2 linked regions of the Callithrix jacchus genome follow. The protein of the gene in region 2 purifies or fractionates together with the protein of the main gene of each other region. This does not show direct contact. Links are inferred from orthologs where the notes say so. Each region holds a gene or a part of one and is shown on either strand. Other genes may lie near its edges.

Region 1 (3,500 bases), on a different chromosome or scaffold from region 2:
TCATGTCTTCTGCCCTTCTTTTCCTCCATCATTTTCTCCCTCCATCTCTCCCCTTCTCTGTTCCAGGAGAGTAAGCTATCCTTATGGATCTTTGAAGGAGAAGGTGGTCCATTTTGACTATGTCAGGGTCCAAAGTGTACAGTTCTAGCATTGGTGGTTGTAGTAAAGCTTGGGCTAATTATATGGCAGAAGTCAAAACTTGATGGGCTTCTGGCATGTCAGGTTTTCTGCACCAACCTCCTGAGTGGCAGAGGGACTCTTCACAGTTTACCTTTCTCCTTTTGCCTACTACTTATTAAGACAGTTGGGGTGGCATTGGAGAGAGGGTAATATCTAATGAAGGACAATACCTAATAAGCTTGGCATTTTGACCCAGGGTCTGATGAATTCTCAATTTGTATTGTAGCTGACACCTCTAACTGTGCTTGTATTGCTTGCTCTCACAGGAGACATTTTTCTTGTCCGTGGTGGGATGCGTGCTGTGGAGTTCAAAGTGGTGGAAACAGATCCTAGCCCTTACTGCATTGTTGCTCCAGACACAGTGATCCACTGCGAAGGGGAGCCTATCAAACGAGAGGTGAGTTTTCTCCCTGATCACAGTATCCAATTTCGTGATTACTCAGTGTGGCATCATGTGGTAACTGTCAAGACTGGGTGCTCGGCTGTCCGCAGTGGCTTACGCCTATAATCCCAGTACTTTGGGAGGCTCGGGGGACAGATCACTTGAGGTCAGGCATTTGAGACCAGCCTGGGCAACATGGTGAAACCTTGTCTCTACTAAAAATACAAAAATTAGCTGGGCCTAGTGGCGCACATCTGTAATCCCAGCTTACTCAAGAGGCTGAGGCAGGAGAATTGCTTGAATCCAGGAGGCAGAGGTTGCAGTGAGCTGAGACTGTGCTACTGCACTCCAGCCTTGGTGACAGAGTGAGATCGTCTCAAAAATAAAAAAACAAAAAAACAGACTGGATGCTTTTTGGAGAACTAAGCATCTTTCAGGGATGAGAAATCTGCCAGATATTCATTTCTGGGTCTAGGTGTTTTTTGGAGATACCTAATGCCAGGAATTTCAAAAATCTAGACTGAACCCAAAGTATATAAGTGATTGAAATCAATTTTGAAGTATAGCTGATGGTGGCTGAAGGCCTTTGTCCATTCCCAGAGTTTCCAGCCTCAGATTTTAGAGACCCCCTTCTCAATAAGACTACGAGCAATGTGAGAGGCAAGGACTGTGCTAGAAATCTTTGCCTTGGGATTTTTATAGCTGTTCTTTGAGGCTGGATCCCTGTAGAGGAGAATCTTCTCTTTTTAATTTAATTTAATTAATTTTTTTTTTTTTTTGAGACAGTTTCGCTCTTGTTACCCAGGCTGGAGTGCAATGGCGTGATCTCAGCTCCTGCAACCTCCGCCTCCTGGGTTCAAGCAATTCTCCTGCCTTAGCCTCCAGAATAGCTGGGACTACAGGCATGCGCCACCATGCCCAGCTAATTTTTGCATTTTTAATAGAGACGAGGTTTCACCATCTTGATGGTCTCGATCTCTTGACTTCGTTCCACCCGCCTTGACCTCCCAAAGTGATGGGATTACAGGCATGAGACACAGCGTCTGGCAATTTAATTTAATTTTTAATGACATGAGGGTCTCGCTATGTTGCCCAAGAACTCCTGGACTCAAGCAGTCCTACCTCTGCCTCCCAAAGTGCTGGGATTACACATGTGAGCCACCGTGCTGGGTTGAGAATCTTCTTATATGGTAGGTTTTTGTACACTAGGTAGTGGAATGATTTAGAGAAACTCAGCTTCTGCTGATATTATATTCTTGCCTTCTGCTTTCTTTATCTCTTTTTCAGGATGAGGAAGAGTCCTTGAATGAAGTAGGGTATGATGATATTGGTGGCTGTAGGAAGCAGCTGGCTCAGATAAAGGAGATGGTGGAACTGCCCCTGAGACATCCTGCCCTCTTTAAGGCAATTGGTGTGAAGGTGAGCATTTTGGGCTCTGGGATCCAGTTTAAAGTGGTGATTAATGACTACCCAATGTCTGATCCTGGGACTTTTTCATACGTGGCTTTTGTTATTGTCTTGGATTAGAGGGGCAGTAATAAATCCTTTAATTCACTGAAGGCTCTAAATTCATTAGAGTTGATGGTATAGAACAGAGCAAGCTAATTAAATTCTCTGTTGTGTGCATATGCGCACAAACACATGCACACATATATATGGGTTTTTTCTTTACAGCTCTTAGAATGTAAAAGCTATTCTTGTCTCAGTGGACCCTGTAAAATCAAATCTCACCATAGTTTGCCAGCCTATCTAGAGCAGTGTCACCTGGTAGAAGTAAGCAAGTTAAGGAAATTTTCAGAGTCTTTTTTTTTTTTGAGACGGAGTTTCGCTCTTGTTACCCAGGCTGGAGTGCAATGGCGTGATCTTGGCTCACCGCAACCTCTGCCTCGTGGGTTCAGGCAATTCTCCTCCCTCAGCCTCCTGAGTAGCTGGGATTACAGGCACACGCCACCATGCCCAGCTAATTTTTTGTATTTTTAGTAGAGACGGGGTTTCACCATGTTGACCCAGGATGGTCTCGATCTCTTGACCTCGTGATCCACCCGCCTCGGCCTCCCAAAGTGCTGGGATTACAGGCGTGAGCCACCGCGCCCGGCAATTTTCAGAGTCTTAAAGGGTTCTGAGTTTAAAACATTTGAGAACTATTGGTCTAGAGTGTAGTTTCCCATTCTTTTCTATATCGTGGAACACACTGAAAATGAAGTTACTCATTTCCTTAGTATGTGTCAATAAACAAATAATTTCATCTTCTATGTTCAATGTCCTGCTTGTAAATAAGGCCATAGAAAGGGTAGTGTCAAAGAAGAAGATTGGTGATTGTAAGGAACATCATTCCAATGTGATAAATTCTGGAAGGTATGATTACTGGAGTAAGTGATCCTCTGGCAATGACGAAAATAGACCCTGCTCTCTCAAATGTCTTAGCTAGTCTTTGGCCCTTGGTCTGCCTGAAATTGAGCCCTTAGTGTAATGTCCTTTTGCCTTTTCCTAGTTACGTATCTTCAAACTTATTTTTCACTAGAGTTTCTCTGCCCTTAGTCTCCTATGCAAGTTGCAATCATAAATGTTGCTCACTTTGTAGCAGTATTTTCTGTGCTAGTGTGGCTAAAGTAAGCTGTCTTCCTAGCATTTACTGCTGAGGGCTCATTCTTAATATTGTCAGGGTTGAAGACTGATTCTCGCCCTCTCTGGAGCCCTAGTCAATCCATTTTAGGGTTTGGGAGAAGGTGAGAACCTAATCACATTCTGCATTGGTCCTCAGCCTCCTAGAGGAATCCTGCTTTATGGACCTCCTGGGACAGGGAAGACCCTGATTGCTCGAGCTGTAGCAAATGAGACTGGAGCATTCTTCTTTTTGATCAATGGTAAGAGACTTGGTTCATCTTAGGTCTAGCTAGACCCAATTTTGAATGGGGACTCATGAGCTGGAGAGCTCATG
Region 2 (4,025 bases):
TACCCCTCATTGCAACCCTACCAGGCAGGTTCTATCGCATTCACATTTGACAGAGGAGACCCAGTCTCAGAGAGGGGGAAGTAACCTGAAAAAATCTACACAGCTACGAAGTGGGCCAGGACTTAAACTCTGGTCCCTCGCTCCAAATCCAGTGCTCTTCCCCCTTGCCAGTCTCCCTGCCCAGACATTCATGTGGCATTTTGAAGGTTTGAGGGCATTTTCATGCACTGACCTTCACAGCTATGATTCAGGCATGGTTCTCTCCATTTGACAAGTCATCGGGGGCTGCTTAGGACTGTGCTGAAGCTAAACCAGGAGCACAGGACCTGAGGGCCAGAGGCTGGATGAGGGGCACGAATGTAGAAAGTACGGCATTGCCTCCCATGCCAGCCCCTAGGGCAGCAGCCAGCAAGTTGTGCAGTCCCTAGGAGCTACTGTCTGGGTCATTTCCTGGACCCATCAATTCAGCTTTCATCAACAGTGATGAAACACTGGTTGGCTTTTCTTCCCATAGAGAAAATAAGATGGATGGAGCCTGCAAGCTCATTAAGGACAGAGGTCATGTCTGTTTTGTTCACTTCTTTATCCCCAGTGTCTTCCTAGCACAGTGCCTGGCGCAAACTAGCACTAAGGATGATGATGGCTAATGTATATATCATATTTATGTTATTTATGCCTTGCAGGGGTTCTGAGCACTTTACATATATTTACTCACTAAATCTTACATCCCCCAGCTGGATAAATGCCATTATTACCCTCATTTGGCAAATAAGGAAACTAGGCATGGAAAGATGGGCAGTAAATAAATATTTGAGGCATGAATGAATGAATAAATAGTCTTATCATACTTCAAGTCACAGAAATAAAAACAATCCCTGCAGCCCCTGGAGTACCAACAGGAGGCTAAGCACAGGAAGTGAATTAGGATTCTCTTAGAATCTTTCTGAACCCTCCCAATGAGGCATATACAATTAATTCTAGTTTACCAATAAGAGTAATTGAAGCTGGCAGAGGTCAGGTCATTTACCCTGCAAACTGACAGGTCTTGGACTTAACCCCAGGTGTGTCTGACTCCAAAGCTGGCCCTCCTAACCTTTGAAAGCTCTCTTGCTTCGGTGCCTATCCAAAACACCGAGAAGGCAAAACCCAAAACAACCCAAGCAGCAAAGCAGGTATCACTATACTCTTCGACTCTTATTTTAGACACAGTTCTAAGAAGCTGCTCGGCTTCACTTCTCAGGTCCAGCAGCTGCAGAGGAATGGTGTCAGAGCGGCTTCTTTCTTACAGGAAGGTAAGAGGGGGTGATTAAAGTGATAAACAATGAAGCCTAGGAGCCTGGGCCACTGTGTGTTGGGGCAGCTGGGTCTATCCACATCAAAATAGTGCACCTGGAGCACAATTATTGACCGTGAGTTGCCAAGGAGGGTAGCATTGTGCAAGAAACTGCAAGGGTGGAGGGCGATTAACTCAGGAGCCACGTCAAAGAAGAGGGCTGGAGCTGTTCTGCCCCTTCCTGACAGATTTAAACCATCCGAGCCTCAGCTTCTTCCACCAGGGAGGTGGAGACAGTGATTCTAGCCCCCCACAGAATGCCGGCAAGATTCAACAAGCTCTTGAAGGTGAAAACACTTGGTCAACAGTAGCCAAGGCAAGTTCCAGAGTTTGATGTGTTCTGCTTAACAAGACTGGAAAGTAGGCTATACATTTTTTGGATATTTTCCAGCAATACAGGGAAAATCATAAAAAGCCGTGGCACAGTCACGCACCATATAAGGAGATTTTCGTCTAATGACAGACCACACATATGATAGTGGTCCCATAAGATTATATTGCAGCTGCCTCTAGAGGCATACCATTTTTTATCTTTTATACCGTATTTTAAATTGTACCTTTTCTGTGTTTAGATCTGTTTGGTTACACAAATACTACTGTGCTACAATTGCCACTGTGTTACAGTATTCAGAGTAATAACAGGCTGTACAGGTCTGTGGCCTAGGAGCAGTAAGCGACACCATATCATCTAGGTGTGTAGTAGGCGAGACCCATCTAGGTTTGGGTAAGCACACTCCACGATGTTTGTACAATGACGGAATCACCTAGCAATGAAGTTCTCAGCGTGTATCCCCATTGTTAAGTTTCATCATCCAGAAAGTTCCCTCTTGTAGGTCCCCTCAGGAAGCTGATCACAGGAGCCATGACTAATTGTCAGCCTCTTGGCCTTGTTACTAGACTATCCACCTGGTTCGCCTTCTGCTTAAAGGTTACCCATGATCTCAATCCACATGTCTAATGAGATCAAGGACAGGCAGAGCAGGACACTGGGTATAGACTCTGAAATCTAGAAGTCACTCATTCAAAATGGGGCCACTCTGTGGGGACAAGCTGCTGAAAAACTGGGGCTCCCGCCTTCAGCCAGCCCCTGGGGAAGTCATTTGGACTCCAAGCCAAATATGGGTGGGAAGGATACCAATTAGCAGCTTGCTGGATCGCTCAGTGGAAAGGCTAGACTTGGAATCAGCAACACCATCATCATTAACTTATTCTCACTTGCTGAGCACCTATCACAAAGTAAGCATTGTGTGGGCAAAGCAGGGGATTCTGAGACAGGCAAGTTCCTGACTTCAAGGAGCTCCAAACTTACTGGAGGAGGTGCACACTCAGCCTCACAACAATCCTGTGCTTATCATCTCCCTTCTAGAGGTGTGGAAACGGAGGACATCTAGCCAAGGTAAATCATTTACCCAGGATCCTCAGCTGGCAAGTGGTGGAGCCAGGATTCAAACTCAAGCTTTGGCTTTAGAGGCCACGCCTGCGGTCCCTACAACCAGCGCAATGGACAACGCAGATAAGTGCCGTGGGGGAACACGCAGGTGAGGAACTTGGGGGTGGGACTCGGGTCCAGGGTGGGCTGTGGAAACAGCTAGATATGGGTTGTAAAGTTGCTCTGCTGCTCATTCACTGTGGGGAACCCTGAGGCTCCACTGTTTTCTAAAGCAAAGGATGGCGATGATGCCTCCATGGAGAAGCGTCGTGCAGATGAAAGGAGCCAACCTAGGGAGGGTGCACAGTGCCATCTTGGGCATGTTCCCCTGGACCAAAGGGGTCCTGAGAGAGCACAGAAGGTTTTGTGGGGAGGCTGTGGCCAGGAAAGGCCTTCACAGAAGAGGTGGCTTTTAAGATGGGGCTTGAAGGATCAGTCAGTTTGGCTTAACTTCAAGGAAGGGGGCAAGGTGGGGCAGGCATGAGCAAAGACACTGGAGATGAAAAAGCTGGGGCCATTTGGGGAGCAGGCTGGCTGCAGCCCAGGGAGAGAGCCGGAGAGCAGAGCAAGGCATGTCTGTAAAGGAAGCTGAGTCCACATTTCTGCTAGAAGGGCAATGACCTCTGCCCATGTTTCCTGAGACCCACTCTGCGTATGTGCCTGACACCAGCCATTATTGGGTCCATTCTTTGAAGACATCCTCTATATAGAAGGTCGGGGACAAAGACAGCAGAGTCACAGCAATGAACCGACAGCTTCCTGTCCTCCTCTTCTGCCTCCCCCGGGGTTGTGCATTACGCAACACTGGAGCGCGAAAGGCCTGTACTGCGACATTAAACCGACCGCCATTTCACTGTGCACTGGCAAAGGCGTGCGCATAGACGCGCATGCGCTCACACACACACACAGACACACACGCGCGGGGTGAGAAGCCAATTTGATTCTCCAAAGGATTGCATAATTCTTAGGTGATTCTAAAATAGCTAATGAAGAATCCACTCTAATCTTTTTAGGGGTGGGCGCTGAAGGGCTGAAGAGCATTGCTAAGACACTTTGACAGAATCATTAACAAAAAATAAGCCGCCAGCACTCAGTTGCAAAAGCAGCAGCTCCTGAAACCACCATCTTCTACACATTCCGAGGGCCACAGAAGGCTTCTGGATGACCAGAGTGAGTGAGGGGGCAAGCCAAACGAGAGGCCTGACCAGCCCAGGCCCTCCCCACCAACTCCCACGGGTCACAGTCTTCCCCTCTGAGATGAGC

What was found.
Region 1: the proteins of UBXN10 (region 2) and VCP purify together in Homo sapiens (affinity purification with western blotting; 3 studies listed by BioGRID and IntAct, with this or other methods). This does not show direct contact. The link is inferred for Callithrix jacchus from reciprocal best matches to the Homo sapiens genes UBXN10 and VCP.

What each region holds. Positions count from the first base shown.
Region 1 is NC_133502.1:141,942,947-141,946,446, reverse strand, and holds part of VCP (transitional endoplasmic reticulum ATPase), read left to right. Parts: intron 1-446; coding exon 447-577; intron 578-1,849; coding exon 1,850-1,981; intron 1,982-3,323; coding exon 3,324-3,426; intron 3,427-3,500. UniProt on the Homo sapiens protein: Necessary for the fragmentation of Golgi stacks during mitosis and for their reassembly after mitosis. Involved in the formation of the transitional endoplasmic reticulum (tER).
Region 2 is NC_133508.1:57,038,131-57,042,155, forward strand, and holds the start of UBXN10 (UBX domain-containing protein 10), read left to right. Parts: upstream 1-1,225; 5' UTR 1,226-1,292; intron 1,293-2,699; 5' UTR 2,700-2,871; intron 2,872-4,025. UniProt on the Homo sapiens protein: VCP/p97-binding protein required for ciliogenesis. Acts as a tethering factor that facilitates recruitment of VCP/p97 to the intraflagellar transport complex B (IFT-B) in cilia.